Linked DNA regions of Arabidopsis thaliana. The protein of the gene in region 2 binds, or shares a complex with, the protein of the main gene of each other region. Each region holds a gene or a part of one and is shown on either strand. Other genes may lie near its edges. The genes, in order: TAF11b, TAF13, TAF5 and TAF6B.

What was found.
Region 1: TAF13 (region 2) and TAF11b share a complex: the UniProt entries of both Arabidopsis thaliana proteins name them as parts of the TFIID complex.
Region 3: TAF13 (region 2) and TAF5 share a complex: the UniProt entries of both Arabidopsis thaliana proteins name them as parts of the TFIID complex.
Region 4: TAF13 (region 2) and TAF6B share a complex: the UniProt entries of both Arabidopsis thaliana proteins name them as parts of the TFIID complex.

Annotation. Positions count from the first base shown.
Region 1 is NC_003070.9:6,935,056-6,940,466, forward strand, and holds TAF11b (TBP-associated factor 11B), read right to left. Parts: upstream 2,612-5,411; coding exon 2,520-2,611; intron 2,366-2,519; coding exon 1,843-2,365; downstream 1-1,842. Other genes in the region: AT1G19990 (nucleolin), read left to right, coding at 272-556, 663-758, 849-919, 1,307-1,610; TUB5 (tubulin beta-5 chain), read right to left, coding at 2,978-3,660, 3,740-4,009, 5,030-5,411. UniProt on the Arabidopsis thaliana protein: TAFs are components of the transcription factor IID (TFIID) complex that is essential for mediating regulation of RNA polymerase transcription.
Region 2 is NC_003070.9:577,024-583,494, reverse strand, and holds TAF13 (TBP-associated factor 13), read right to left. Parts: upstream 2,871-6,471; 5' UTR 2,750-2,870; intron 2,426-2,749; 5' UTR 2,412-2,425; coding exon 2,309-2,411; intron 2,218-2,308; coding exon 2,180-2,217; intron 1,999-2,179; coding exon 1,939-1,998; intron 1,852-1,938; coding exon 1,777-1,851; intron 1,681-1,776; coding exon 1,576-1,680; 3' UTR 1,185-1,575; downstream 1-1,184. Other genes in the region: AT1G02670 (P-loop containing nucleoside triphosphate hydrolases superfamily protein), read right to left, coding at 3,196-3,268, 3,365-3,445, 3,528-3,616, 3,696-3,848, 3,970-4,074, 4,183-4,299, 4,478-4,600, 4,704-4,773 and 6 more. UniProt on the Arabidopsis thaliana protein: TAFs are components of the transcription factor IID (TFIID) complex that is essential for mediating regulation of RNA polymerase transcription. May be involved in polycomb repressive complex 2 (PRC2) mediated repression.
Region 3 is NC_003076.8:8,675,065-8,685,185, forward strand, and holds TAF5 (TBP-associated factor 5), read left to right. Parts: upstream 1-1,984; 5' UTR 1,985-2,052; coding exon 2,053-2,228; intron 2,229-2,541; coding exon 2,542-2,623; intron 2,624-2,708; coding exon 2,709-2,787; intron 2,788-2,903; coding exon 2,904-3,001; intron 3,002-3,099; coding exon 3,100-3,156; intron 3,157-3,272; coding exon 3,273-3,360; intron 3,361-3,453; coding exon 3,454-3,563; intron 3,564-3,690; coding exon 3,691-3,798; intron 3,799-3,876; coding exon 3,877-4,028; intron 4,029-4,210; coding exon 4,211-4,321; intron 4,322-4,395; coding exon 4,396-4,465; intron 4,466-4,554; coding exon 4,555-4,591; intron 4,592-4,739; coding exon 4,740-4,895; intron 4,896-4,984; coding exon 4,985-5,061; intron 5,062-5,157; coding exon 5,158-5,274; intron 5,275-5,691; coding exon 5,692-5,957; intron 5,958-6,421; coding exon 6,422-6,517; intron 6,518-6,605; coding exon 6,606-6,678; coding exon of another isoform or gene 6,679-6,723; exon of another isoform or gene 6,724-6,937; coding exon 6,938-6,994; and 2 more. UniProt on the Arabidopsis thaliana protein: TAFs are components of the transcription factor IID (TFIID) complex that is essential for mediating regulation of RNA polymerase transcription.
Region 4 is NC_003070.9:20,288,100-20,295,294, reverse strand, and holds TAF6B (TBP-ASSOCIATED FACTOR 6B), read right to left. Parts: upstream 4,696-7,195; coding exon 4,576-4,695; coding exon of another isoform or gene 4,507-4,575; coding exon 4,259-4,506; intron 4,172-4,258; coding exon 4,065-4,171; intron 3,994-4,064; coding exon 3,917-3,993; intron 3,838-3,916; coding exon 3,700-3,837; intron 3,608-3,699; coding exon 3,512-3,607; intron 3,416-3,511; coding exon 3,291-3,415; intron 3,208-3,290; coding exon 3,075-3,207; intron 2,865-3,074; coding exon 2,739-2,864; intron 2,635-2,738; coding exon 2,523-2,634; intron 2,434-2,522; coding exon 2,135-2,433; downstream 1-2,134. Other genes in the region: NHX5 (sodium hydrogen exchanger 5), read left to right, coding at 22-50, 132-163, 276-323, 410-470, 563-660, 754-829, 931-950, 1,049-1,146 and 4 more; ABCD2 (ABC transporter family protein), read right to left, coding at 5,050-5,259, 5,348-5,598, 5,721-5,997, 6,075-6,316, 6,899-7,127. UniProt on the Arabidopsis thaliana protein: TAFs are components of the transcription factor IID (TFIID) complex that is essential for mediating regulation of RNA polymerase transcription. Not redundant with TAF6.

The DNA.
Region 1 (5,411 bases), 6.4 Mb from region 2:
CCAATTCAAATCCAACTTCGATTCTGTATACAACAAGTATGGCTTATTGCAGAAACGTTTCGTATTTAACCGGTTTCTTCTTTAAACCGCTAAATTTCGGTCCGGTTCAGTGGAATGATTTTGCTTTTGGGTTTAAACGACGCCGTCTCCAAGCCTCCTCTTATTTTTGGATTAGGGCACAATTGACGGAGGAACACAGCGGTTTCTCTTCTCAAATCTCTCACAAAAATTTCATCAAAGGTTTCGACTTTTTTTGATTTGGTAGAAGAAGATGCCACCTTCGGAGGATGTGAAAGCTATGAAGATGAAAGAGGAGGCTGAGGAAGACAATAAGAGCTTGAGTTCCTTTGCGAAGAAGAAACCCACGAACGGTAACAATGCTGGTTCGAAGAAATTGAAGAAAGAAGAGAACGATGACGATGATGATGATAACAAACCTATCAAGTCATCTGTATCTGGGTCTCGAGCTAAGCCAGTGAAGAAGAAGGAAGAGATTGATAAAGACGATGAGAAGAAGCCTGTTTCTAAGAGGAATTCTTCTGTTGGTGTCTCAAAGGTTCGATTTTTATTTCTTTCTCTCTCTGTTTGAGTATAAATATTGAGGATGGTAAAATATTTGATGAGGCATTGTTTTGATTATGAGTCTCTCTCTTTGTTTATAGGAGAATAAGAAACCAGAGAAAGAAGAAGAAGTAAAGAAAAAGAGAGAAAGAAAAGTATATGATTTGCCTGGTCAGAAGAGAGAGCAGCCTGATGAGGTATTTTTTTGCTGCTCTGTTTCTCTGCTTTTTAGATTTGTTGTTGAATTCGTCTGAAGAATTTCTTTTGTTGATTTTGCAATTCTGCAGAGAGATCCACTTAGGATTTTCTACGAGTCACTTTACAAACAAATTCCCACTAGCGACATGGCTCAGATTTGGTAAGCTCTTCTATTCCTTTCTCTGCCTTACATTGTTCTGCAACTTTAAAACACTTACACTTAATGTTTTGTGTTTGGTATGTATCTGATTATTTGTGTTTGATCACTCAATCTGCAAACTGAGTCCTACACCTTAAATTATTCTTTTGGGACTTGATGCATACTTGCGTTTGATTTTCGATGGTCTCTTGTGTTTTGCGACACGGTTTAAGCTAGTTCGCATAAATTTTGAACATCATAATTGGACTCACATTGTATGTAAGAAAGGGGAGTCCTTTCAAACCAGTCACTCAAAGCATTGATTATATGATCTGTGATGGTTATGTGTAATATTTGCTTTTAGATTGCTTTGTTTATTTGAAAACCCTTTTGTGGTTTTGATCACAGGTTGATGGAGTCTGGATTGCTTCCAGCCGAAAAAGCAAAGAAAGTTCTTGAGAAGAAACTGCAAAAGGGTGGAAAATTAAGTTCTCCAGTAAAATCTGCTGCTTCTACTCCAAGAAGCAACTCCAAATCAGTGACCGTGAAGAAGAAGGAAGTACAAAAGTCGCCATCTGAAGCTTTGTCAAACAAAAAGAAGGGAAATGATTCGAAACCAACCACGAAGAAGAGGAAGAAGAACTCTGATGATGACGACTCAGATGATGATTTTTTGGCTAGCAGAGTCTCTAAAAAGGCTAGAGCCAAGTAGGTTGAATTAAAAGACTGAAATCTCATTGTGTTATTTGTAATCGTTTCTTAGGGAGTCAATTTGTAGAATGCTTGAAAGGTGAATTCTTTAAGAGTAATGAGAGAGATGGCCAATTGTTTCTGATCTTATCGTGTACTTCTTTAGTTATTAAGCAAAGACTTAATCACGTTTGGTTTAGAGCATGATAGTTACTCTTCGTCCATGTCACTACTTTGTAACCTCGTCATTCTGACTAGCGAAAAAGCCGTTGAACTGATCTTTGAGGCACTTTTCCTTGGAGCTTTAGTCTTCGATATGACTCTCTGATATGGCAAGGTCTAATAGGTCCTGATTCCTTCCTTTCCCTCATAACAACTCGAGCTGTTTCCACAAGGTCGCCAACAAACATCTTTGCGATACCACGCACAACGATGTTCATAGTGTCGTCCATCTTCGGACCCCCTGTGATTCTCTGTACCAACTTCTCCATGTCTGATTTCTTAAAACCAGATCTTCTGAAAGATTCATATCTGCTCATTTGTTCCTCTGTAAATTGTGATAAAATCTTCTGCATCTTGTTGGCTCTAGTCACAGGATCAGCACCAGTTATGTTTTTGGTGAACTCAACTTCATCTTTGTTCTTCGCTTCAGCAACAACGGACGTTTTACATTTCTTCACAGCTCTCTCATCTCCTTCAAGAGTCTGCTCGGTTTCAACAGGTGATTCCTCTTGCTCCTCCATTGCTGCTTCAAACGGATCCTTCGAATGCTTCATTCTTAATAAAACCTTAACGAAAATCACATATCTTTGGATCTTAAAACTCCAAAATTCAGCCAATTTTTTTGTTGCACATCCGACCACACTAGAAAAAATCCGACATGAACATGAACTCAAAGAAATCAATTTTTTGTACTTGTAATTACAAGTACCTTGGCACTGGCTGATCTTTCAGACAATTGCAGTTACAAGTAACCCGCTCGTTGCTACTAGCAAAACAACAAGACCTTGCGTTAAAGGCCATTTATTGTCAAGCCTATTTTTTAAGAAGCCCAAATGTAAAAGTCGGTGGGAAATGAAGTATCTTTATTTATAGAGGCAAAAGTTTAGCTTCCTTTATACTAATTTACTCGATGTGGGACAATTGAGAGAAGTGTAAAATTTATATACTACACAGTAGCTTGAGAAGCAAGGACGTATTATCTCAAATGGAAAATACAAGACACCCAAAATAAATGGAAACTTCAAACTTTCTTTGAACAAATTACTCAAACAAAAAACACATTTAAACAAATTTCCCATTTTTTCAATGTTTTTCAATCAAATTTAAATAGAGAGATTTCCAAGAGTCGTTTCCTTGTCTTTTAAGTAAAATGTTTGATTTGGTGGATCAAGTCTCATAATCTCCCTCCTCTTCTTCTTCAACATCATACTCACCTTCCTCATCAGCAGTAGCATCTTGGTACTGTTGGTATTCAGCGACCAAATCATTCATATTGCTCTCAGCTTCCGTAAACTCCATTTCGTCCATTCCTTCTCCTGTGTACCAATGCAGAAACGCTTTACGCCTAAACATAGCCGTGAACTGCTCACTCACTCTCCTGAACATTTCTTGAATCGACGTCGAGTTACCCACAAACGTCGCCGCCATTTTGAGCCCCTTTGGTGGGATATCACAAACGCTGGATTTCACGTTGTTTGGGATCCACTCAACGAAGTAAGACGAGTTCTTGTTCTGTATGTTTAGGATTTGCTCGTCGACTTCTTTTGTGCTCATCTGTCCTCTGAAAATAGCAGAGGCTGTGAGGTAACGTCCGTGACGTGGATCAGCTGCACACATCATGTTTTTGGAGTCCCACATTTGTTGAGTCAGCTCAGGAACGGTGAGTGAGATGTATTGTTGCGAGCCACGGGAAGTGAGGGGCGCAAAACCCACCATGAAGAAATGGAGACGAGGGAATGGGATTAGGTTCACCGCGAGTTTCCTGAGGTCAGAGTTTAGTTGTCCGGGGAACCTTAAGGAGCAAGTCACACCGCTCATTGTTGCGGAGATCAAATGGTTCAAGTCTCCAACTACATCATCATGCAATGTATCAGAATTAGTTTTAAATACATTTTGGGTTAATGGAGGATAAGAATTGGGTGTACTTACAGCTAGGAGTGCTGAGTTTGAGGGTACGGAAGCAGATATCGTAGAGAGCTTCATTGTCGAGGACCATGCATTCATCAGCGTTCTCTACAAGCTGATGGACAGAGAGAGTTGCATTGTAAGGCTCAACGACTGTGTCAGAGACTTTAGGAGATGGGAAAACAGAGAAAGTGAGCATCATTCTGTCTGGATACTCCTCTCGGATCTTCGATATCAATAGTGTTCCCATTCCTGAACCTGTGCCTCCTCCCAACGAATGGCACACCTGAAACCCTGTAAAATAATGCAGCCCCATGATTCACATAGTATTGGTTCCATCGATGAGACGAAAAAGTGTTCATATATAGTCAAGCAAACATCTTGTTACTAGTCCTTGCTAACTAAATCAACTATAATGTTTATGTGAATCTACAATGCTTTAAAACAATAATCAATGAATCTACAATATGCGTTAAAAAATATTTCTCCCCAATAATAACAATGCACACTAGTAGTCATAGACTCATAGTTATAATTGAAGTTAAATAATCAATGTATAAAACGAATCACGTGAGACCTGACCAAAAGTAACTAAAAAAACGAATCACGTGAGATTGTTGTTTGGGCTCCACAAGCATTATCTATAAACTCTAAAGGCAAAAGAGATTTTTATTAACTTTTTACTACAAAATTCCAAGAAATCTATATGATGTAGTAGGACCACTCCATCTTTTATCCCGTAATCACGGTGCCTTGAAAATGTTTTGATCACGACATCACAATGATATAATATCTTATCTCTGAAGCTTTAATATGAAGAAAAAAACTTGACAAAAAAATATCTCAATACTATACAAAACAGCTTGGCCCTACCAATAATAAGTGCTAACATCCCACTCCACAGAAAACAGCACTTGCATTTCAATTATTTCGTTGCTGTCTTGCAATTACATTAAATAAGACGATTTGATTGATCGTATTACTGAATAAGAACCCACATGCACTGATGCACACCAATAATAGATAAACAAGATCATCAAAGTAAAAAAAAAAAGAATAAAAAAAACATACTATAGTACACTTACTAAACCGTGACCTAATTTTACTAATTATGTAGATAGATATCATACTATATTACAAGAAGAGATCTATGGTGATAAACGATTATCGATACGGTGACGTCAGACAAATTACGAATGAAATGATTATTGAATCAAACTAAATCCAGTAAATATACGAATTATGATGCACGACATCAAACACTATAGAAAATTTGCGTATAATGGAAAATTCAGAAAAAGATATATATAGTACCTTGAAGGCAATCGCAGTTCTCAGCTTCTTTACGAACAACATCAAGAACAGCATCAATAAGTTCAGCACCTTCAGTGTAATGACCTTTAGCCCAATTATTACCAGCACCAGACTGACCAAAGACAAAGTTATCAGGACGGAAGATCTGACCAAACGGTCCGGATCTGATACTATCCATAGTACCAGGCTCAAGATCCATAAGAACAGCACGAGGAACGTATCTTCCACCTGAAGCTTCATTGTAATAGACATTGATACGTTCAAGCTGGAGATCTGCAGTGTCTCCACTGTAACGTCCGGTGGAATCGATGCCGTGCTCGTCGCAGATGACTTCCCAGAACTTGGAACCAATCTGGTTACCGCATTGACCACCTTGAATGTG
Region 2 (6,471 bases):
ATCACCGTTGGTTCATCTCGGTAGGTTAATCGTATGGCGAGGATCCAATTCTTGGCTATGGAAACTTCATTTGTCACCGTTGTTTCTATGAGTTTTTCACGAAATGGAATCAACTGTGTAATTGTTACCATCGCTCAGTATGATTTTTCACTTACGCATATGTCCATGCATAATATAAACGGTTGGTATTATCAAAGTCTTCAATTTTCGAAAAGAACTCGATTCAATGAATTGGTCAAATGTGCTATTAATATGACCAATTTCCGATTGAAAACATTGAACATAAAATATTTAACGAGATCTTTAATCTGCAAACCAAATTTAACATTCCCCACAAACACAAATAGAATTTAGTAGATATACTTCATTCTCCTATTTTCTCATTAATGAATTCAAATACACTCACTAATTACAGAAACAAAAATGAAGAAAAAGTTAAAAGGAATTAAATTAAATTATAATACAAAAACCAAAAATGACCAAGAAATTAAAACCTGAATGATGATGACGTAAACTTGATAGATGATACGAACCATAATTAATAAGATCATTAATGCATCACTATATATCCCTTTGGCTTTGCAACGATCAGTGTAAACCTGATTTTGCATCTTCATTATTGCATAGAACCTCAGCTTTCTCATCAATCATATCGTCTCCTCCTTCCACATCACTATAACATTCATCTTCTTCCTCATCAATATCATCATCATATAAGGACATGGCTGATCCATATCCCGAGATTCCTGATGATGATGAAGATGAAGCCGCCGTGAAAACCTCCATAGTCTCTGATAAACGACCCTCGGAATCATCATCATCTTCATTATCATTATCACCATCGTCTCCTCCCATTTCTGTCGCTGGCAGAGGAGGAGGAGCCGGAGGGAGAACAATTGTGTTAGTAAAAGTTGACGATGGCATTATCGTAATTTCGAAACGGAGTTTACGTACGGACTTAACGACTCGCCGCCAGAACCTGGTGTTGAAGGGTTTTCTCCCCGGCGGCGACGAAGCATGAACATGACGACGGAGAACATGTGCATCCCACGTGATGACTTTTTCTTCTTCATGCTCGTGTTGTTTATTTGCTCTATCTCTAATTGATCACAATGATTTTCTTTAGTTGGTAATTGATCACCATTCTTATTTATTGTTTCCATGGTAAAATAATGAATCAAAATATCAGAAAGATGACGAAAAATTTAGAGAAAAACAAAAGTCTTATAATGATGACTAATTTTATAATTATTGCGGTAATTAATTTAATGAAAGAAACAAAAATCGGGTGGTTATTCTAAATTTTTAGGGTTTCGAAATTCCTGACTCAAGAAAAATTAAAGGTCGTCCGTAGATATATACGGGATGCTAGATAATGGGCTTTCTTCTAATGGGCCTACATTTAATATGAGTCGGCCTTGTGCAAGATTTTTTTTCACCTTTTTTAAGTCAACACACTTTTTTTTTGCTACTGTGCTTCGAATTCTGATTACAACCTAAAACGCTGTCCCTAGTCCGGCATCCATGAGGTTCCTCTTACCTAGCATTTGTTCCTCCCGTTGAGGAAAAGCAAGATCAATCAACGAGTTCCTTTTCGTCGACATCAAAAGCTTTGCGTGCTTGTTTCAGCTCTTCCTGCATCGCCAACAGTTCTCTACAGCGGTTCAGTTTTGGCAAATCCTGCATAAATCAAAGACGCCAAAGTTTCGGATATAGAATACAAAACCATAAACCATCTCAATCATCGATTGTGTACTTTTTAAAAAGAATTTTTACCTTGCGGATAAGATACAAGAAATCATCAACTAGAAGTCTTCCTCGCTTTGAACCAATTTCTTGAGCTTTATGTGTCTGCCATTGAAACATCACTTGTTAGCTAATATCTCTCCGCTTGTAATGTAAAACATGAATCATTCACAAAAAGAAAAAGCTCACTACCAAATCTGTGACGTATTCCACAACAATGTCTTCTACAAGCGCCACAGACTCTGGAAGAGGCTAAATACAGAGGAGTTTTGGATCAGTTTCAGGTGGTAAAACACTAAAAGATGTTACACGACCAAGAACCCTTTAAAGCAAAGATTCTCTACCTAATTCGTTACTTGTATTGGAATGAAACTATATCTACAAATACGGTTCATATGGCAACAAAATAGTAATGAAGAGGATAGCGGCTTACGTTTTGCTCGTCGCCAAATCCATACATCATATGCTGCACTGAAAAATCAACAAAAGCACCAAAACCATTGTTACCAGAAGAATCACAAAATGAAGAATACAAAAATCTGGTTTTAACTAAAGACTTTACATTCTTTTTGAAAGAGAGTTTTGCGCTTTTCCTGTGGCTGAGAAGTTCCCGCAGCTTTCGATTTAGACGATGATGACGCCGCCGCTGCTGGTGTGTTACTCATCTCTTCTTCTTCTTCTGATAATCAAAATCCAGGAGAGCAAAATAATAGAAAAATAAGTGAAATTCCTCTACCGACAAAATCCAATTGAGTCAAATACTAACCCTAGGTGAAAATTTTCAAAAAAGAAAAAACAGTGTAATCTCAACTAGAAAATGAAATTCCGAGCCTATATTCTAGATTTCTACCGCAATCAAAACCAGAGAGCTACCGGAAAGTTGTATTCCGGTACAGTACAACAACCAACGGAGTTAAATCGAATAAGGTTCTTTATCCAAATATTTGTCGTCATGGAAAAGGAATGAAAATTGAAAAGGGAATAGTGAGAGCAGAGAGCTCACCGTAGATTGATCGACGGGAGTAGCAGAGGTGGTCGTTGCAAAATCGGCGATGAAGATGATGAGAACGAAGAAACGGGGACTTGTTCACTGATCTCTCTCTCTCTCGTAGAAGAAGCACATTGCATTACATACGAAGTAATTGGGCTTAATAAATAGGCCCATTTATATTAAACCAGCCCATAATCTAAACCAGAAACCCGTACACTAGTCGACCGACATTGTAACTAAGTTCTCACGGTATGGCTCAAACCGGCCATGGCCTCATGCTCAATATTCTTCGGGAGAAGGAAAAGTTTGTGATCCGATTCATATACAATCTATCCGGTGCTCATCATATTACACAAGTATGTATCAAATCTTTTAGCTTGAGCCTAATTTTGTCCTGTCAAGACTCTTTTTTCTATCTATACAAATTTTCTATCATGTTCTTCATCTACAAGATTTGGTTATGCGAACAGGGACTTGATATCGTCTTCTCCCAGCTTTTGTACAACGGCCTCTTCAGAGTCACCTAACGTACTGTAACAAAGCAAATATGTCTTCATATAGGCTTCATACAGTTGACAATAAGAAACCAGCAAAGTTGAGAGAAGCGTATCGTTTAAAATAAGAAACCTTTCAAACAAATCTTCCTTCTTCTTTTGAAGCGTTAGTATCTTTTCCTCTACTGTTTTCTCCATTATGAATCTTACAACCCTGTCACACAACCAAATGTTTCTTCTTTCTTCCCCCACCAAAACAACATACAGTATATTGAAGGACAACTCAAAAATATAACCTGACAGGCTTGCACTGTCCGATCCTATGTATTCTGTCCTGTGCTTGCCTCTCAACCGCTGGGTTCCACCACGGGTCCATCATGAACACCTATACAATCAAACACCCGAATGTCAGTGAATAAAACATGTTCTAGGAGCAACTGTTTTATAAGTTGTACACTTCTTACATGCGAAGCGGCTGTTAGATTTAGAGCAACCCCTCCAGCTTGCAAGCTCATTAATAAAACTCTGCAATCTGGCTCTTCTTTAAAATTTTTGAGTGCAGCATCTTTAGCTGCCTTGGACATGCTTCCCACCAGTTGAACACAGCTAACCCCAGACTGCGTTGTACAAAATGAGTCAATCATTTTTATTCAATGTCTCATTATGATTAAAGAGAATGTTAAAGGAGCACAGATATAGTAGTAGTAGCATTTTGTAGTTGGTTGCGCTTGAAATTACCTTCCCCAAGGCGTAACTTATCAGGTCCAAGAATGATGTGAACTGGCTGAATACTATTGCTTTGGCAGACCAATCTCTTTCAACCATGAACCTGATTTCTTCTCTCTGCATACAAATTTTTTTTATCACCAAATGGTTAGATAAAGCCTCCAATCTCCAAAGAAACTTTAAGCGTGGGAGAGACAGAAGCTGTAGATCTCAAAGGGCACATACCAAAGCCTCAATCTTTGTACTTGTTTTAAAATCATCGAGGTTTATCCGATTTAAAATGCTAGAGGCTCTAAATCCTTTAAGCTTTGTCTTGCTTGCCTGATGTTCACTAGAAGTCACCTTCAAAGTAAGAGAACCAAAGACATATTAACCGAACAAGTTAAGTCCAACATTAGTCATCCGATGATTCTTTAAGAAAGTGTAAAATGGTGGCAGCTATTTCCAGAAGATACAGTTACTGAGAAACAAGAGTCGAGATAGTATGAAATAGCAACAATATATCGACTGGAACACTTACAAAGTAGTCCTTGGAAGGGTCATGGCCGAAACCACATTCTTTCTCATTTTTGTTCGCATCAAGCAAGTTAGCGTTAGCGCCACTAGGACTAGAATAACTCACCAGGTATGGATGATCAACAGCCTGAAAAAATTGCAAGAAAATGCATCAGAAATCTATATACCTATATCATCCAAAACATGCACTGGCTTGTAAATAGAACAACAAAACTATCGATACCACTCACTTGTCTCAGTCGGATAAGAAGACCAAATATATGTGCATAGTTATTCATCAATGTCCCAGCCTGAATATACCTGCAGAAACAAATGTACATGTCAGATTTAATAATAAAATTCAGTTTACACAAAGCATGGAGCAGAAACCAGTGAAAATCCATAGAACAAAAGTAACTTACCCATCAAATGTTGTCTTGCTAACTTTGTATAGTGATTCATAGAAATCAGCTTCTACTACACTTAGTGCATCTCGCCTCAGAGAGATCTAAATTTATATGTAGAGATCAAGCTCGGAAGCAACTATACCAAGCTTCATTTATATCAGACAAGGGAGAGAAAGGAACATACGATTCTAGAAGGAAGAGCAAGGTCAGCTGCCCGGCCCAATTTAGTACGTCTTAGTAGAATGTCCTTTAGAACATTTTGTTTAAGGAATATACAGGCTCTGTTTCTCCGTTTGTCCACATTCTAGCAAGATTGGAAAATATAAAAACCAAAGAACATAATGGTGATCCTGCTTTTAAAATGTTTTTAATAATGGCACCTCAAAGTTACCTCTTTCCACCAAGAGATGTGTTGATTTGCATTATGAGGACAGCTGGGACATTTTCGATGCGCACTGCAGTCACCGCCAAAGCCCAAAGGCAATGGACAAAGGAAATGAAACAGCAAAGATTGTTATGAACTATCAAACAGAAGTATGGGAAAGGAGAAAGTAACCAGGAATTGAGAGTGGTAAGATGTTACCTCCGATCAAGAACTTCACAGTCACATTTCTTGCAAAAGTAATATGAGTATGGCGAAACGCGAAGGAAGCGTATCTGGGACAAACAATCAGCAATGTTGAGATATCATTACGTGCTATAGAAAAAGTTGAGGAAAGAGTAACTAACCAGGGAGTAGAGCTCGTCAACATCATTCTGGAGAGGGGTACCACTCAGAGCCCATCTGTAGGTCGCCTCCAAAGCAAAAACAGCTTTGGCAGTGCGACTACTTCTGTTTTTGATATCATGAGCCTGATATGAAGACAAACGGGAATTATATCAAATTTGCAGTGAGCTTCCCCTGAAGGATAAAAGATTCACAAAAAGCAAATTTGCAGTGAGCTTCCCCTGCTGTGGTTTACTGTACAATAAATCTCACAGTCCCCTTTCCTTACATGCTTGAAAATGGAAAAGAAGAAGAACCAGCAGGTCTTGGTACTGACCTCATCGACGATGATACGATTCCACTTAATAGAGTGTAAAGGAGACATTGTTTCGTCCACTCCTTCATCCTTCCTATATTCATTCTCAACTATGGGAGATGTTGTCAAAACAAAGTCGTAATTCATTAACTTTTGAACATTCTTGTCTCTCTTCGGCCCATGGTATTGAAGAACCCTGGTGCTTCCCGGGGATGTCAACCGAGAAATCTCATCTAACCACTGAGAAAGAGCAACAGGAGGAACAAGCACAAGGGTGTGCCCAACTGCTTCCCTAGATTTGGCTCTGTCAACTTCCCGTCTGGCAAGAACGAGAGAGATGGCTTGTATTGTTTTCCCCATTCCCATCTCATCAGCGAGAATGCCTCCTCTTACGGCTGATAGTTCCTGTATTGTAGCCCAAGCCAAAAACTCCTTTTGGTACTTTAGTAGCGGTATAATCAAATCTAGAGGCTGCTCAGCAGCTTCAGCAATGACTGCATTCTGCTCATCAAAATCATCATCCTCTGTCATCTGAACCTTTTCTTTCATGATCTGCCATTTTCTTTTAGTGTTTGCAGGAGCGGCAGGAT
Region 3 (10,121 bases), on a different chromosome or scaffold from region 2:
AAGCTTATCATGAAGATGTTCCGTGCAAAACACATCCTTGAAATAGTAACAGTGAGATAAGATATAAAACATCTTATTAATAAAATTTTGTGATTGATTGAATTTGACTCCCCTGTAAAAAACAACAACTGATTTTAAAAACCATACATAGAAAACTATTTTATAGAACAACAATAAATACTAGTTTTTCACTATATAAGGACTTGATTGGTTCTTGAAAATTATATGTATTGATTATTGGGAGATTTGCAAAACTAGCCTTTTTTTACTACCCTTTTGCAACAATACCCTTTCATGTTGTCCATTTTTAAAAATATCTCTCCCCTTGAACAAAATGACCAAATTACCCTCATCTAATAAAAACATGTAATTGGAAACTGAAATTTTCCCGCCAATTTTTTGGCGCCAAAATATTTTTTTTCCCGCCAAAAAAAAGTTTCCGCCAAACTTTTTTCCAACCAAAAAAAAAAATTCCCGCCAACAAAAAAATTTCCCGCCAAATTTTTTTTTCGTAAAAAATTTTTCCTCAGCCAAAAAAAATATTTTAAAAATCCTTGTAAATATTTTTTAGCGCCAAATAGATTTACAAGGGATTTTAAAAGGATTTTAAAAGATTTACAAGAGATTTTTAAAAAGTTTTAAAAAATTTACAAGAGATTTTAAAAGAGTTTTAAAAGATTTACAAGAGATTTTAAAAGAGTTTTAAAAGATTTACAAGTAATTTTAAAAGGTTTTAAAATCCCTTGTAAATCTTTCAAAACACTTTTAAACCCTTTAAAAATCTTTACAAATCCTATGTAAATATTTTAAAACCCTTTAAAATCCCTTGTAAATATTGTAAAACCCTTTTAAAATCCCTTGTAAATATTTTAAAATCCTTTTAAAACAATTTTAAACCCTTTAAAAATCTTTAAAAGACCTTTGTAAATCTTTTAAATCCCTTTAAAATCTCTTGTAAATCTTTTAAAACCCTTTTAAAAATCCCTTGTAAATCTTTTAAAAACCTTTTAAAATCCCTTGTAAATTACCCTTTTAAAATCCCTTGTAAATCTTATAAAACCCCTTTAAATTGCCTTGTAAATCTTTTAAAACTCTTTTAAAATTCCTTGTAAATCTATTTCCCGCCAAAAAAAAAAATTGACGGGAAAAATATTTTTGAAAACAAAATTTGGCGGGAAATGTTTTTCAAAAATTTTTGGTGGGAATTTTTTTCGAAAAGGTTTGGCGGGAAAATTTTGGCGGGAAATTTATTTTAGAATATTTTAGGCGAAAAAATATTAATATTTCATTTTGTTAACCTAAAACAATTTCCAAATAAGGGTAAAATGGTAATTAAAAATTTAAAGAGAATATAAATAAAAATGGATAAAACAAAAGGGTAGAGTTGAAAAGGGGCATCATGAAAAGGGCATTTGAAAGAATTTTTCTTGATTATTTGATATCCAAAATTTTATAATATATTTTTAGAAAACGAGTTAACCATTGTGGGAGGAAATAACTGACCTTGTCTTATATACAATAAATTGTTGCAAGTGTTTAGTTTAACCATTGTAACATTTGATTTAAGAATTATTGTTTAAATATTTTTAAACTGGGTGTTTTGGAAAGTTATTTTTTTTTTTAAATAAAAGTTAGAAATTTTGAGAAGATAACATTTTTTTGGATAATTTTCAATAATTCTGTAAGAATTAATTACTCAAACAATAAATATTGGTATCTTGTCCCAATCTTTAAGTTGAAATAGAGAATCCAAAGCAAGTAATTTAAAAAGAAAATGGTTATGAGATTTTACATCAAAGTAAGGTCATGGGCTTATAATTCAAAAACTCTTAGTAAATTTTGAATCTGGGCATTTGCCCAACCTGCCACCCCCATAGACGGGCCTGGTTTTAATCATAACTTTGAAATTATTATATTTGGGCCACAATTAGGCCATTGAAACAGGCCCAGTTTTGTAGAGACACGGAATCTAAAAAACTGAAGATGTTTCAGCGACGAGATACAAGTTTCTAGGAGAGGAAATTGAATCGAGAGAGAGAGAGAGAGACAACAATGGATCCAGAGCAAATCAACGAGTTCGTCGTGGGCTACTTGAAGAAGAAAGGATTCAGTAGCGCTGCTAAAGACCTTGAATCTTATCATCACCAGAACAATAATGGTAGCTCCTTCACTTCTGTCGATTATCATAACGATCCTGAGCTCACGAAGCTCATTCGCTCCTTTTCTCAGTAATCTCTCTCCCTATCTCTCTCTCTCGTTTCAATTCTTAATGCGAATTGTGTTTTGAATTTTTGGGAAAGTTTTAGTGTCTTTTGTGAATTTTGAAAACCGTAAGGAAAAATTATGTAAGCTCCAACGTTTTTGAGAATCTAAAAATGAATATAATTCACTTTCTGGGTGAAGTTTATGTGAATATTTCTATCAGTTTATCTGTCAAATTTAAGATTTTGATGACATCTCAGTGGCAAGAAATTAGGTTTTTTTGTATGGCTTATGTAGAGAGAGCTAATGGTAATGAAATGTCTGTTCTTTTGTTTGCAGACAAGAAGATGATCCAACTCGGTACCGTGAAGGTTACAGCAAACTAAGGTCATGGGCGTATAATTCTCTGGATTTATATAAGGTGGGGATTTTTTTTTGTGTATCCCTTGGCTGTTTTGGGTAGAGACAGGCTTAATTGAACTGACGAGATGATTCTAATTTTGTAGCATGAATTGCTTCGAGTGATGTATCCTGTGTTTATTCATTGTTACATGGATCTGGTGGGGAAAGGGCACACTCAAGAAGGTACTTGTCAATATAGCAAATTAGATGTACTGAGTATTTTTTTTACCTTCGGTATAAGATTTTTGGAAACAGTGACTTATGCTACTGTGGGAAATAATACGTCTCTTGTATTCCAGCTAGAGCCTTCTTTAACAGCTTCCGCAAAGATCATGAGATGGTACACTTACGGGATCTTCAGAAGCTTGAAGGCGTGCTTTCTCCATCTCATCTAGAGGTTTATGATAAACCTTATATGGTCATATAATATTGATAATGGATTTTTTTTTTTTTTTTTTTGGTTATTATCTTTCTTATGATCTTGGTTCTTATCAGGAGATGGAGTTTGCTCGTTCTCTTAGAAAAAGCAAGGTTAACATCAAGTTTTGTCAGGTAGACTTGAGTGAAAATTGACTAGTAGCTGTAATAGGCAACTGCTTCGAGGTTTCTGGTCTGATTAACTGAATTCCGTGACTGCAGACCTCTAATATGCTTACTGAATGTTGCAGTATTCATATGAGCTGTTACTTCAGTATCTACATAGTACAGTATCGACTTTAATGCTTGGTATTATTAACGAGCACATCAATTTCCAAGGTAAATGTGTTTCTTTCTCTTATATATGCGATAGCTTGTAGCAGTTTTTTGAGTAGAAAATTGAATCAATTGGTCATGGATAATTTGTTGCAGTCTACTCGGGACAGCCTACTTCCTCATCCGATGACATAGAAGCTGTCACCATTGTCGGGAGTTTTCAGGACACTGCTAATCACATTAATCAAAAAGAAATACAGTGGGGAGTACGTATTTCCCCTAAAGTTTCTTTTCTCTTCTATTTTTCCAGAGTTATAACATGTTGATGCCTCATCCCAGGGATGATAACATATTTGCGTAGTTAATAGCTACATATGCATTTTTCTTTTACAGTTGCTTGAAGATTCACTAGAAGATCGCCTTGAGAAGACAGGAGGTCTGCTGTCTGATTCTGAGAAGGGACAAGGAGAAAGTAAAGACGGGGATGCAGATGATAGTAAGGTGATACATAGCTTCAACTTAGTCAATAATTTCTGAACTGAAATCCCGTTTTTACTCGTCAATTGATTCTGTGTACAGAAAAGATCCACTGAAATTGGAAAGCAAGGCTCTTCCTTAAAAAAGTTGAAGAAGGACAAAGCGGGTAATGCAACAGCAAAAGTTGCACGTCTGGAGACCATTACGGTGTCACCGGCGCCGCGTGTAAAACCAGAACTTGCCTTGCCAGTAATGTACTTTCGAATCCCTTACCCATTTTTTGTGTTGGGATTTGATTAAAAAGGAATGAACATGTGATATCTATGGGTGATGCATGATTGTTTAGGAGAAATGAACATAGTCTTTGTATTTGTCAAAGACTCAACCTCCTTTAACATAAATCAATTTTGCTCCATCTCCTTGTTTTCTCTGTCAGGTCCACAGATGTAGAGCAATCCATCCTTGAAGACCTTAGAAACCGTGTGCAGTTGAGTAGTGTTGCAATGCCATCAGTCAGCTTTTATACATTTGTGAATACTCATAACGGGTAATGTCCACCTCTCCTCCTAATTTTAACTACTTATTTGCAACCTTGTTACTCACTCTTTTATTCTCCCCCAGGTTAAACTGTTCATCTATATCTCATGATGGATCTCTGGTTGCTGGTGGGTTCTCAGATTCTTCAATAAAGGTATGTTATTCTCGGATGGTTGGATACATTTCCCTTTTTTTGTTTTCTTCCTCTCTTAAATGATGCCAAGTGACAATTATGGTGTTCAGGTCTGGGACATGGCTAAGATAGGACAAGCTGGCAGTGGTATGTTAATTCTCTGAAAAATTGTATTGACATCCACGTTTAAGAATGATATTTATCTCATACGTTTCGCTTGTCATTTTTGTTGATTTCTCATAATGATTGTTTTTGTTTCCATGAGAGTTATAGACACTAAGCTGTCTGGTTCCAGGTGCTTTGCAGGCTGAAAATGATTCAAGTGATCAAAGCATAGGACCAAATGGCAGAAGAAGTTATACATTATTACTGGGTCATTCAGGGCCAGTTTACTCAGCCACTTTCAGTCCCCCTGGAGATTTTGTTCTATCTTCTTCAGCAGATACAACAAGTATGTATCTGTCCATCACTTTACAAATCCATACACTGGCTCATTAGTTCAGACTTTTTTAGTTACCAACCCTGTATTCATAAGTGCAGTACGACTGTGGAGCACAAAACTAAATGCTAATCTCGTGTGCTACAAGGGTCATAATTACCCTGTATGGGATGCCCAGGTATAGTTAATTCAATTTAACCCATGTTTCTTACATAACCTGCAATTTATGGTGGCTGGACATGTATATATATTATATACTCATTTTATGGTGCAGTTTAGCCCTTTCGGTCATTACTTTGCAAGCTGTTCTCATGATCGTACTGCACGGATTTGGTCAATGGACCGAATACAACCTCTTCGGATAATGGCAGGGCATCTATCTGATGTTGATGTGAGTGTCTCCCTCATCTTCATTGTTTGGGTTTAATTTGCAAAGGTTAAATCGAAGGGACCAATTGAGTTGTTAATTAAATGCATGGATAAATTTCTTAAAACGTTTTATTATGCAATTGAAGTCATTAATTCACCGTATCAATGTTTACAATGGTTTATCTAACATTTTACATTGTTTATTGACTTAGATTAGTACCCACTTGTTATTTTAACGTGACCCTGACATTCATAATTTAAGAATCGTCCAGTTTATAGTTGATCCAAAGATTGTTAGCCAATACGCTTAAAGTCATAAGGTTACGATGGATTACTTAACTATTTGGATTGACATTAAGTCAGATCAGTAACTTCAATTTTTCTTTGGATACCTATTGATGCGACTTTCGTTGTACTTGTCAAATGCATTTGATTTCAGTGTGTACAGTGGCATCCCAATTGTAACTACATTGCTACCGGTAGTAGTGATAAGACGGTTAGACTCTGGGATGTGCAAACTGGAGAATGTGTCCGGATATTCATTGGGCACAGGAGTATGGTTTTATCATTGGCGATGTCTCCAGATGGGAGATATATGGCTTCCGGTGATGAAGATGGCACTATAATGATGTGGGACCTCTCAACTGCTCGCTGCATCACTCCTCTCATGGGCCATAATTCATGTGTCTGGAGTCTCTCATACAGGTGAGGTGTCAAGAGAAGAAGAAAATAGCTTTATTTGATCATTCAACTTTTATTGAGTTAGTAATACACAATGAAAACGTAATATGATCCTTTTTTCAGCCAACTATTGGTTTTGGTTGATATGCTTTATCATCTCTGGAATTTCTTCTAGGACAACATTTTTTAAAGGGTAGTTCAGGGTTATGATATAGAGTGGTATGGTGTGGCTATTTCTATTAATTCTACAGTGACTTACTACTGAACTGGTAGATTTTTCTATATCCACGCACTCTTGTGTTAGCTCTAACATAGGGTTCTTGTCATGGGTTGTGGAATGTTGTATAGGCCTAATGTGTTGGGTCGTTAATGGAATGACTGGTTTTGGTTGGTAAAATCCACTTGCTTGGAATATTGGAACCGTAAACTCCACTTTGATAAATCATAGAACTACTACAATTTATGACTAACCTGTTTTCCTGTTTCAGCGGGGAGGGCTCTCTTCTGGCTTCTGGATCCGCAGACTGCACAGTGAAACTGTGGGACGTCACTTCAAGTACCAAATTGACAAAGGCCGAGGAAAAGTGAGTTTGCTCTTTCAAGTTGTATTGTTGTTCCCTTTGAATGGTAGATTGTTTTGTTAAAAACGATTTATCATTTGTGATTGATCAGGAATGGAAACTCGAACAGATTGCGCTCACTCAGGACTTTCCCCACCAAGTCCACACCAGTTCACGCTCTCCGGGTAAGTTATGCTTTCTTTACTAGAATTAATTCCACCATTCTCTAAACACCGTGGTATTTCTCTCATCCCTAAGTTTATCATGTTGTGCTTGTGATCAACACATCCCGATAATGAGTGACCAAACACTTGATTAGAACCAAAGTTTCAGGGTGTGTGCCAAACAGATTTTATCCATCAGTATCATATAGAACCTTTCCTCTAACACCTAGGATTCGTTGATCGAGGCATACACTAAAACTCATGTTTTACATTGATGCAGTTTTCTCGGAGAAATTTGTTGTTTGCTGCAGGAGCGATCTCTAAACCCGCAAACTGATCAAAACAATGGTATCAGATATTGATGCTTTAACATTCTTACAAGCTGTTGTAGATCTCAGAAGAAATCAGGTGTAGAATAGTTATCTCCAAAGATTATTTGCTTGTGGCTTTTGTTTCTCATTTCTAAATCCCAAAAATGTTGAAGATTCTTTTAATGAACAACTACTCCTGCTTATGTATGCCATGTGTCCCAATCCAGGAATCACTTATCTTCGACTTGGAGCAGATTTACTTTAAGCATGTCAAAGCCACATTCTTCCTTCTAATAAACACCCTAGTTTAAGCATGTCACCTCTATCATGAATCAAAACCTACTCGAAATGAATAAGGCAAAGAACAACAACCAAATATTCTCAAAATTTATAACGTTAATAAAATAGAAACATGTAATGAATCTCCCCAAAAAGACATCGTGTGTCGAGAGAAATCTTTCTTAAGACAGGGTGGGTGGTTATGTGGTATGTTGTGAATTATGTTTTTTCTTAGAGAACATATTTTTTAGAAACTTTTCAGATACTAACATATTTTTTATTTTGTGAAAACATTTAATTCTCCTAATTTCTAGAGACGGTACTTAAATAAATAGAGAGCTGACGACAAAAATAAAATAAAATTGAGAGCTGAAGAAGAAAAGAAAGAAAAAAACATGTTTTGAAAGACATTTGCATCAAAATTTTGGATGAGACATAAAATCTACCAAAAGTAGATTTGGTTGTGTGACTAGACAATTGTCTACATTTGGAATTATATGTGGGAATGTGGTACTCGTTATCTTCTTATATGAGATCTCTCCCGGTCAGTTTTCTCATTACTTTTTCGAAAACAAATAAAGTTAACATGATGCATATCTAGTCCATTTTTACCATATTTTTATACTAGTGTGTGCATAAAAATAATCTTGGACAGACTCAGAACTATATCATACAATATTATTTGGAAAGTATATTTTAAATGTAACCTTATCTTTTGTAAGTAATTATATAGATATGCAATTAGAAAAAAAAATTTAAAGAGTAAATTAATTCATCTCTTTAAGAATTAAAAAGTCAAATACTAATTTAATTAATTAAACTTAATTAAAAACGAAATACATTATTAATTTCCAAAAAAGTAACCAATTAAAATCAACAAATTGGATTTGATATCTAAATTATCATATTAATTTTTTTATTAATTATTATAGTTCACTTCTCATCTTTATATGATTCTATTTTTGCGAAAAATAATATCATCGCTATAAAAAAATAATTAGAATTTTTTCGCATATGCCATAATTTAAATTTTTAAAAACGAATATAAACTATTCAATACATGAAACAATATTATAACGGGTCAAAAATAGATTTAAGAAAACTTTCTACTGAGTACTGGGTCATAATATGAATATTTATATTCAATTTCATATATATTGTTTTGAAAATTTATAATCTTATATACTACAATAATTAATAACATATTAGATTTTTTTATGTGTATGATGTGATTCAATTTTTAATACAAGCTGGAAAATCCTAGAATTGACGGGTTTAGATCGATATTAATACAAGATGGTATACTACAGGTGAAACTCTAAAATTAACAATCAAAATACAAGTGTATAATTTTAAACACTAAACAATATAAATAATATCAACAAAACATATACAACTCGTAGTTTATTATACATTTAAAATCAAATAAAATAATATCGTATATTTATAATCATCTTTACAATAAAAGTTTTTAGTTTAACTAAAATATAAGCTTACATGCGGTATACTGCAAGTTAAAATTATAAATAAGCAAATTACCATCACGATGTTTGTACCTTCTCACATACACACCTATCAAAAACTTAAAACCTTTCAAGACCTCTTGGTATATTCAAATTAGGATTTCTTCATTCATGGAATCATTCTTCCAAGGGTTTTAGGATGTCCCATGAAATGATTTTGGCAGAAGAGGATGTAAAACTTTTCGAATAAAACGTAGACAGCAAAACATATGTTTTTTTGGGAGTTTTTAGATAATTAAATCAGAGAATGGGGCTGGGCATATGAGTAACCTATTCAAGTTCGGGTAGAACCCGTTCGGGTAGAACCCGTTCGGGTTTGGGATTAATGGGTATATGATTTACTACCCAATAGAATAATTCTAAATATTTGGTTCTGGTTCGGGTCGGGTCCATTTGGGTTTGCGTCAGTTTGGATAAAAAGTTTCAGGCCCTAAAAATACCCAAAAAAATTGAAACGGGTATTTTGTATGTAGATAGTGGGTCTCCAAACAAAAAAAACTTTTAGATTTGTTAAGTTTTAATAAATTTAATTATATTTGAATATATTTTACTAAATTTTGACAAACATAACACATAATTTTTGAATAGTTTAGTTGTTTTGGATATTTAGGTCCAAAATTAATTGACATATTTAGATTTATAATTATAATTTTAGATAATTAGATTATATTACGATTAAATATAATTAATATTTTGGATATTAAATTAATGTTTGGGTTTTTGAATACCCTCTTTGGATAAAGGGTAATTTCTGGACCAATCGGATATCCACGGGTTTACTAAAACTCTACCTAATAAGGAAATTTCCTAAAATTCTAACCCGCTCTAACCCGGTTTTTTGGTTCGGATAATGGATTGGTTATCGGGTCTGTTTTTTCGTGAGCCCTATCAAAGATAATCTAATATAGGGCCCAATTAGGTTCACAAATATAACCAAAACATTATACAAAAACTAATTTTAAGTTAGGCCAAAAATTAGATCTTTTAATACAAAGGAAACATGTTTCTTACTAGAACAACTTGTATACAAATTTTACACATTTACTTAAAATTATATATGTTGTATTTATTATAAAAATAATATTTTTAAACAAATTCAATCCAATGCAGCATTATATCCAAATAGTAAAAACATTGAAAAATATTATGACAACACTTTTATATTATACTATTTCTTATGTAATTCAAATAAAGTATACAATTTAGTTTATACACAATATTAATGTCCGTGCTATACAGCACGGGTTATGATCTAGTAATGATGTAATACACAACCTTATGTGGGAAACCAACAACAAGTAAACTATATATCAATTCAAATGACAGATTCACTGCTACACCACAGTTAAAA
Region 4 (7,195 bases), about 20 Mb from region 2:
AGTCTTAATATTATTCTGCAGGGGTTGGGGTTGGATTCACTTCAGCTTTAATATCCTTCCTCGAATCCTCTATTTTTCTTATTAGATGTCACATGGCCAAAAATGTATTGTAAAATCTTAACTCAGAACACCTCTTTAAGTATGCAGGATTGGACACCGAGAAGTAAGTGCCATATCTTTTCTTAACTCTTTCTATACTGTTGTATTTACATTGTTAATACTCTCTGAACATATTGTAAATGTAATGTCTCTGTTTTCTCTTTTCTCTACCTCAGTCTTCAGAACTTGGAGTGTTGTCTCTTTGTACTTTTCCCGTATTTTTCGTAAGTAGACAAAACAACTCTCCTCCTGTCTCTTCGTATTTATGACAACACTTCTTCCCCCTAATGTATTCTGGTTATTCTGTAAGATACATGCTTGCAGAAGGTGTTGGTCTCTCCGGCATTGTTTCTATACTCTTCACAGGAATTGTAATCGCCGAGTCATTGTAGCTTTTACATCTTAGTTGATGTTAATATCTTGGAAAGACATATTTAGGCTGCCTAATATAGTGCTACTGTAGGTTATGAAGCGCTACACTTTCTCAAATCTCTCAGAAGCTTCACAGAGTTTCGTATCTTCTTTTTTTCACTTGATATCTTCGCTAGCAGAAACTTTCACGTGAGTCCAGAGCAATAACATCCATTGTTGGATAACAATTTCTACGCTTAAAGTTCTATTAGATTGATATTGATTTGTTTAATGCTTTTCTAGGTTCATTTACATGGGATTTGATATTGCCATGGAGCAGCATAGCTGGTCCCATGTTGGGTTTATCCTTTTCTCTATTGTATCCTCATTTACTGATCGTCAGTGATTGTATGCAGTGTTAGTCAGTGTTGTAAATCCTTGACTTTACCTTTTGCTTCTGCGTTTCATGACTGACATCAGTTGTTTATTGGCGTGGCTAGGTGACTAAATGCTTTTTTATCCTGGCTGATCGCTTCATTATCACCATGGTTTTCGATTCGGATTTACCTATATGTTCTGCAATGCTTTTCTCACGCAGGGCTGTCAATGTATTTGGGTGTGCATATTTGGTCAACCTATTTAGACAGGAGAACCAGAAGATACCTATGAAGCACCAAAAAGCCCTTTGGTATAGTGGTGAGTTGAGCTAATAGCTTTTGTTCTTGTCTCCTGATGCCCATTTTTATATCTACAAACTATTAAAACTTGTACACATATTGGCACATCGATAGGACTTCGAGGGGCAATGGCATTTGCACTTGCACTTCAATCACTTCATGATCTACCAGAGGGTCACGGCCAAATCATCTTTACTGCAACCACAACTATTGTTGTTGTCACGGTAACTTTCGTATTCTCTCCATGAAAAGCATCTATGTTATTTCCAGTGGTAGTATACATAAGAATCAGCGAGAGTTGGAGAATAATACATAGGCTGCGTTTCTTATCCATTGCAGTAATATTTCAGGTTTTACTAATAGGAGGTTCGACAGGTAAAATGTTGGAAGCTTTGGAAGTTGTAGGTGACGATCTTGATGACTCCATGTCTGAAGTAAACTCTCGACGATCTACTCTAATATCTTTGAAGTAAAGTTGTGTATGTACTTTTTCTAACGCTCCCAGATACGTGGTTAGGGCTTTGAAGAGAGCGATCATCAGTATGTCCCTCCTCCTTTTAGCATTGGAGCTTCATCTGACGAGGATACATCATCATCAGGAAGCAGGTTCAAGATGAAGCTGAAGGAGTTTCACAAAACGTAAGAATAAGAGAATGGCTTAGTATGTTTTCCTGAGTAAAAAGCGATATTTGCAATTTTTTGGGACTCACTTGACAAAACTTTGCAGCACTACATCATTCACCGCGTTGGACAAAAACTTTCTGACTCCGTTCTTCACAACTAATAGTGGAGATGGAGATGGAGATGGGGAGTAGCATGGAAAAGATGTGTATTTGTGGTCCAGGCCAAGCTATAATTAGAGTACACATATGTCTATGTAAGATTAACACTGGTTGATTTTACCTCTCGCAAAATGCCCACTATAAAGTTGACGATTTCCAAGACATTTCGAAATATTATATAGATGTATTTATTGTGGTACATACAATTACCATGTCAATAATCTATTACAAGAAGAAACTGAGCTCATGTGTGGGGGTGAACATAAGCATGCTCTCACCAAAATACTCAAAAAGAGGAAAGAGATAGTTGTCGACGTCAGTGCCTGCAGCAGCTGAAGTCTTCGGAGCAATTGTTGAGGGACTATTGTGGTGCCGTGCATCTGCATCTGTGTGGGACTGTTGAGGGACTGTTGTGGTTCCGCGCATCTGCATTTGTGTGGAGCTCATTTGTATAATTCCCCCTACTGCTATCTTCTTCAGTGGTGGTTGATGAGTTAAGTTGTCACTGCTTGCTTTGCGTTTACCTTGGCCGAAGAAAAAAATTATTTAAGAACGCGTATCTCCGTGTTTAGAACGCCAAAAGAAAAAAAAAGAATGAGACCAGATTTTATACTTTGCCTGGGGCTGGTGAGCTTTCCATTTGTCTTCCAGACAGAGCTAGTTGGAGGAGACAGCAGTGTCTCAGATGTTTTAAGCCGTTCATATAGGCATCGACCAGCTGCCACCTATGGAAAGTTAAAGTTTATATGCTCTCCTGCCTGTTTTGCAACACGAGATTGAAAGCAAACAAGTTTTCTAATTTCTGTATCAAACTAGAAAGCATACTCACCATCAACGCTCCATAAACAAGCCAAGCCCCATGCCTCTTAGCTTCTTCCTTCTGCTTCTCAAGTCCCATTTCAGGTAAAAGAAGCAGCAAATACGGCCCTAGGTTTGGGAGAACAAGAAAGCGAACCTAGACAAAGGTATAAAGCAAGAAAATACTTACGGACGACCAAAGGATATATATCTTAAGGTTCAATTGCAGGTTTAATAACTTTATCGAGGATGTCGGATCATGCTACTATTAGTTTTAAACTTATGCTTTCTTATGTAAAAATTCTAGACGCACAACCTAAAGTGCTACTCTTCGTTATGATAATCAAGAAGCATCAAGAGGAAGTACCATATTAAGCCCAAGGGCTACCATCCCTTGAATTGCCCCATAGTGTTGTGGGAGTGCCTTGGTTGGGTCCAAAAAGGTATGAAGCAGTGATCTTGTGACACGTGGCAACAAATTGTGATAAACGTGTCCAAACCTGTAAAAAGTTCACTAATGTGATTGCAAGTTATATGGTTGTATAAGATGCATGAAATCACAAAGCAAGAATGTAACATTAACCTTTTGCACGTTGAAGCAACTGTGCTGGCAGTGAAGTTTCTCAAGTCCCAGTGATTATCAGATGACCTTCTTCCTAAGCGCTTGGCAATAAGGCAAGTGATAATAGACGGCATCAACTGATGCAGCTGAACAGAATACAACAAGTTAAAAGTCAACAGAAGGAGGAGAAGGGAGAAGAGAAACAAAAAAAAACAAAAAAAAAGTGTGCGCACAAAACTTACATATGGCTCAATATGTACATGAGGGTTATGAAGGAGGCTTCTAGCAAGACGCATCAAAGCCAACAAGATTGGATAATTATCCATGTTTTTGACAATCTGGAGAAATTGCAAGCACAAAAAAAGTAGTGAAAATGTGGTCAAGTTAGAATAAAAGTCAAGACTAGAAGTGTTGGATTACAAAGACAAACCTCTTCAGCGATGAAAGAAGTGAAAAAGGGAACTAATGGGTGGAGTCCAGGATCAATTTCCAAGCTGGCGAGTGCTTGTCTAAAGAGGGTGGAGCCAGATTGAGTCAAAGCCCACTCCGTGACTTTGTCAAAGTAAATCTGCATCGAGAGCAAGCAAGGATTATATAGCATTCAAAGAGCGAGGTAAAGACCCAAAAAAAGAAGGGAGTAAAATAACCTGAAGGTCCTTAGAAAGCACCTGTCTAGCAGCCAAGCCATCGTCCTTATATTCCGATCGTTTAAGGTCAGATATGGCTACAAATTGTCATGGAAGAGGGATTAGAAGGAGAAGTAGTAGGTGATGCAAAAGAAGACAAAAGAAATACCTTGGAGAGGAGAATTCTGTGGAATGGAAGGTTGAATACCATCAATTGCCAACCAATGAGAAAACAGATGCATCAGGAGGTGCATTTGGTAGAGGAGCTTCGATAACCTGCACAAGAGACCATGAAGGGAAGCTTAATAACAATAAACAACATTTCACCATCTTCTTCATTCATGGCCAATCAATGAAGCTTACATTCTTGAGCTCGACATCTTTGTCATCGAAGAAGTATAGATCTCTGTTCTCAGGAGCTCTCTTGAACCGCATACTTTTGGAGCCAGAGGTAGGCTATACAAAAAAAAGTCAAAATCAGGGTCAACGGTATGAAATAAAAGAAGAAGAGAGGAAGAGGAAACCTCCAAATTCCTGAAATGAAGAGCAGAATCGACATCATGAGCCATTAAAGTGGTGCGTCGAGCATGACGCATGCATTTGATAGCTTCCTGGAGATTGCGACGACAAGTTAAAGAGGAGATTAGAGGGCAAAAGTAAAGTTGAAGTTGATGATATACCTGCATGACCTCTCGGACGCGATACTCGACATCGGGAGCAAGAGCGGCTGAGACGTCCGGAGAAAGAGTGGAGAGTCCAATGCTCTGAGCTATCACTTCAATGGATTCTTTCGTCACCATCCTCCTTGCGCCTTCTTTCTTTTTCGACTTTGAGCGACTGAGTCGAGTCAGTCGTGTTACATTTTCTCACTCTATCAGGCTTTCTCAAATGGGCCCATCGTTAGATTTATTGGGCTTATGATAAATACTCAGCCGGTTTTGAATTTTTAGCTCATCTCGCGTGTTATTTTTAATCAGAACTTCGTTGCACTCGTATCTGTATCAATCTCTCTATTTACTTGCATCTTCAGTCAACGTCAAGTCTGGTAGATTATATACAAAATGGACACCAAACATGTTTCTTATATGTTTCATGACACCCGTTTGCAGATTTACCTGCTGCTTCTGTCTCTTATGTAATCAATCAGGTTTTGATCAGCTTTCACTTGGCACCTCCTTTTGATTCAATCTACCGTACAAAGAATCTTGGGCATCCACGTCCTCTATTCGCCAGTTACGTTCATTGCTCTTCGGGTCTGCCGTTGAGATTTGTAAGATCTTGTTATGGAATTTCGTTAAAGTCCGGCGGTGGCCAATGCTTATATATGTAATGCCAGCCGACTGGATTTGCTGGTACAGGAACGCCTGGGCATCAAGAGGAATTTTAATGGCTCAACGCTACATGTACATGATATTATTCTAAATGATAGATGAGAGGAGAACCAACAAGTACCTCATTAGCTTCATCCAACGCACTGGTGGATTCATCCAGGAGCGCCAGCTTTGGCTGAGACAGCAATAACCGTGCAAAGGCAAGGCGCTGCTGCTCACCAAGTGAGAGAACACTGGACCACTCGTGTATCGAATCAAGACCACCAAAGCGATCCGCTATATGTCCAAGACAAACCTTCTCTAGAGTCCGCATCAGATCATCTGTTGTCGGCTTTTCATTTCCGTCCTCTCTAATCAGCAGAGGTGGTGAACCTAACAAAATCAACGCATTTTTTCTTCAGTCGATTTGCTTTTGGGTTCTATAATCTGCTTGCATAAACTTAAATGGAGTTGAAAGAAATGGTTGTTACTAGACACAAATTTAAACTGAGTACCGTCAATATTACTGCCACCAGGTGTCGTCTCCTCCACAGTTGCACTCCAGGTAGGATAAAGCAATTGCTGACGCAAAGATCCCAGAACCATATAAGGCCTTTGTGGAAGGAACAATACGTCTCCTCTTTTCCCTGAATTTTCCTGAGTATCAGATTTCTCCTGTGTAAAATCTACCTCAGGATCGAGGTAGAACGTGATTTTTCCTTTCCCTGACCTCCAAAGACCAGCCATTGCTCTTAGCAGCGAAGTTTTTCCACTCCCACTAGGACCCATTATCTGTTAAATGGCATTTTTAAGTAACTTCCAATCTACCAGTCACATGCTTTAAACACAAGTAGTCAAAGTGAACTAACCAGTAGGTGATCCTTGTCATATACATCTGCAGATAAGTTGTGAACCAATGTGGTTCCGTTTGTTGGTGTCTGAAGAGTAAGCTCCTCGATCTCCAGACGCTTTTGGTTCGGTTGGGACTTGATTGAACCATTGGTGTCCAGCAGTGAAGAGTTCATCTCACTCTGATATGTCAGCTCAATCTCGTCCACAGTGTCAGATGGATCTCTGAAGATGTTGTTATCCAAAAGATCATCAAATTCACCTGTGTTGGAAGAAGTCTTGATATTGTTAGATGCGTAAAAGGAGAATCCCAACCTACAGCAAATGCAGTTTTTCATTTAGCCGTAGAAGTTGATTTGCAGAAACAATGAAACTTTGTGAATATGTTGTACATAAGACATAATTTAGACCCAATTTTAAGCAGGAAAGTGAACAGCTGACTCGATCTTTTTGTCTGCCCATCACACTCTCAACGGTTACACCCGCATTTTTTTCCGGGTATTCACTCTTAGATATTATAAACAAAATCTTACTACTATACAGTCTAACTATTATCTATATATTCTTATCAAAATCCTACTATACACCACACTCTATACTGTTATAACACAAGAAAATAACTAACTACAGCGACACACTGCAACTTCTACTCTTCGATATTCTAAACAAAACCCTACTACTAAAATATCTATTTCTCACCATCAGGTAACAGAAATTATGGTGATGTGCATATTCTGCGTCTAATGTTGTTCGGTATTGATCTAAGGTCTTGTGTGATCTGTAAGCAACAAGTAGTATATATATAGAACATTAAAAGAGAGTGCAGAATACATAATTAATCTACCTAGTCGATCAATGACAGCAGAAAAAGAGCTGATAGCTTGAAACTGATAGACAACGAGCGAGAAGTCTCCTAGGATATGATTGAATGCAGACACTGACTGGTTAATGACACCAAACTCAATCTTCCCGGAGAAATACATTGGGGCAACAACAGCAACTGGAAGAATCTGAATGAGGTAGCGATATCCATCGGTGAAGAATTCTAGGTTTCTAGATGCTATCAGCAATTCCTGCAGGTGAAAAAATTGAATGTAATTTATTGTGCAATCTATAGATATATATATAAATGGATAAGAAA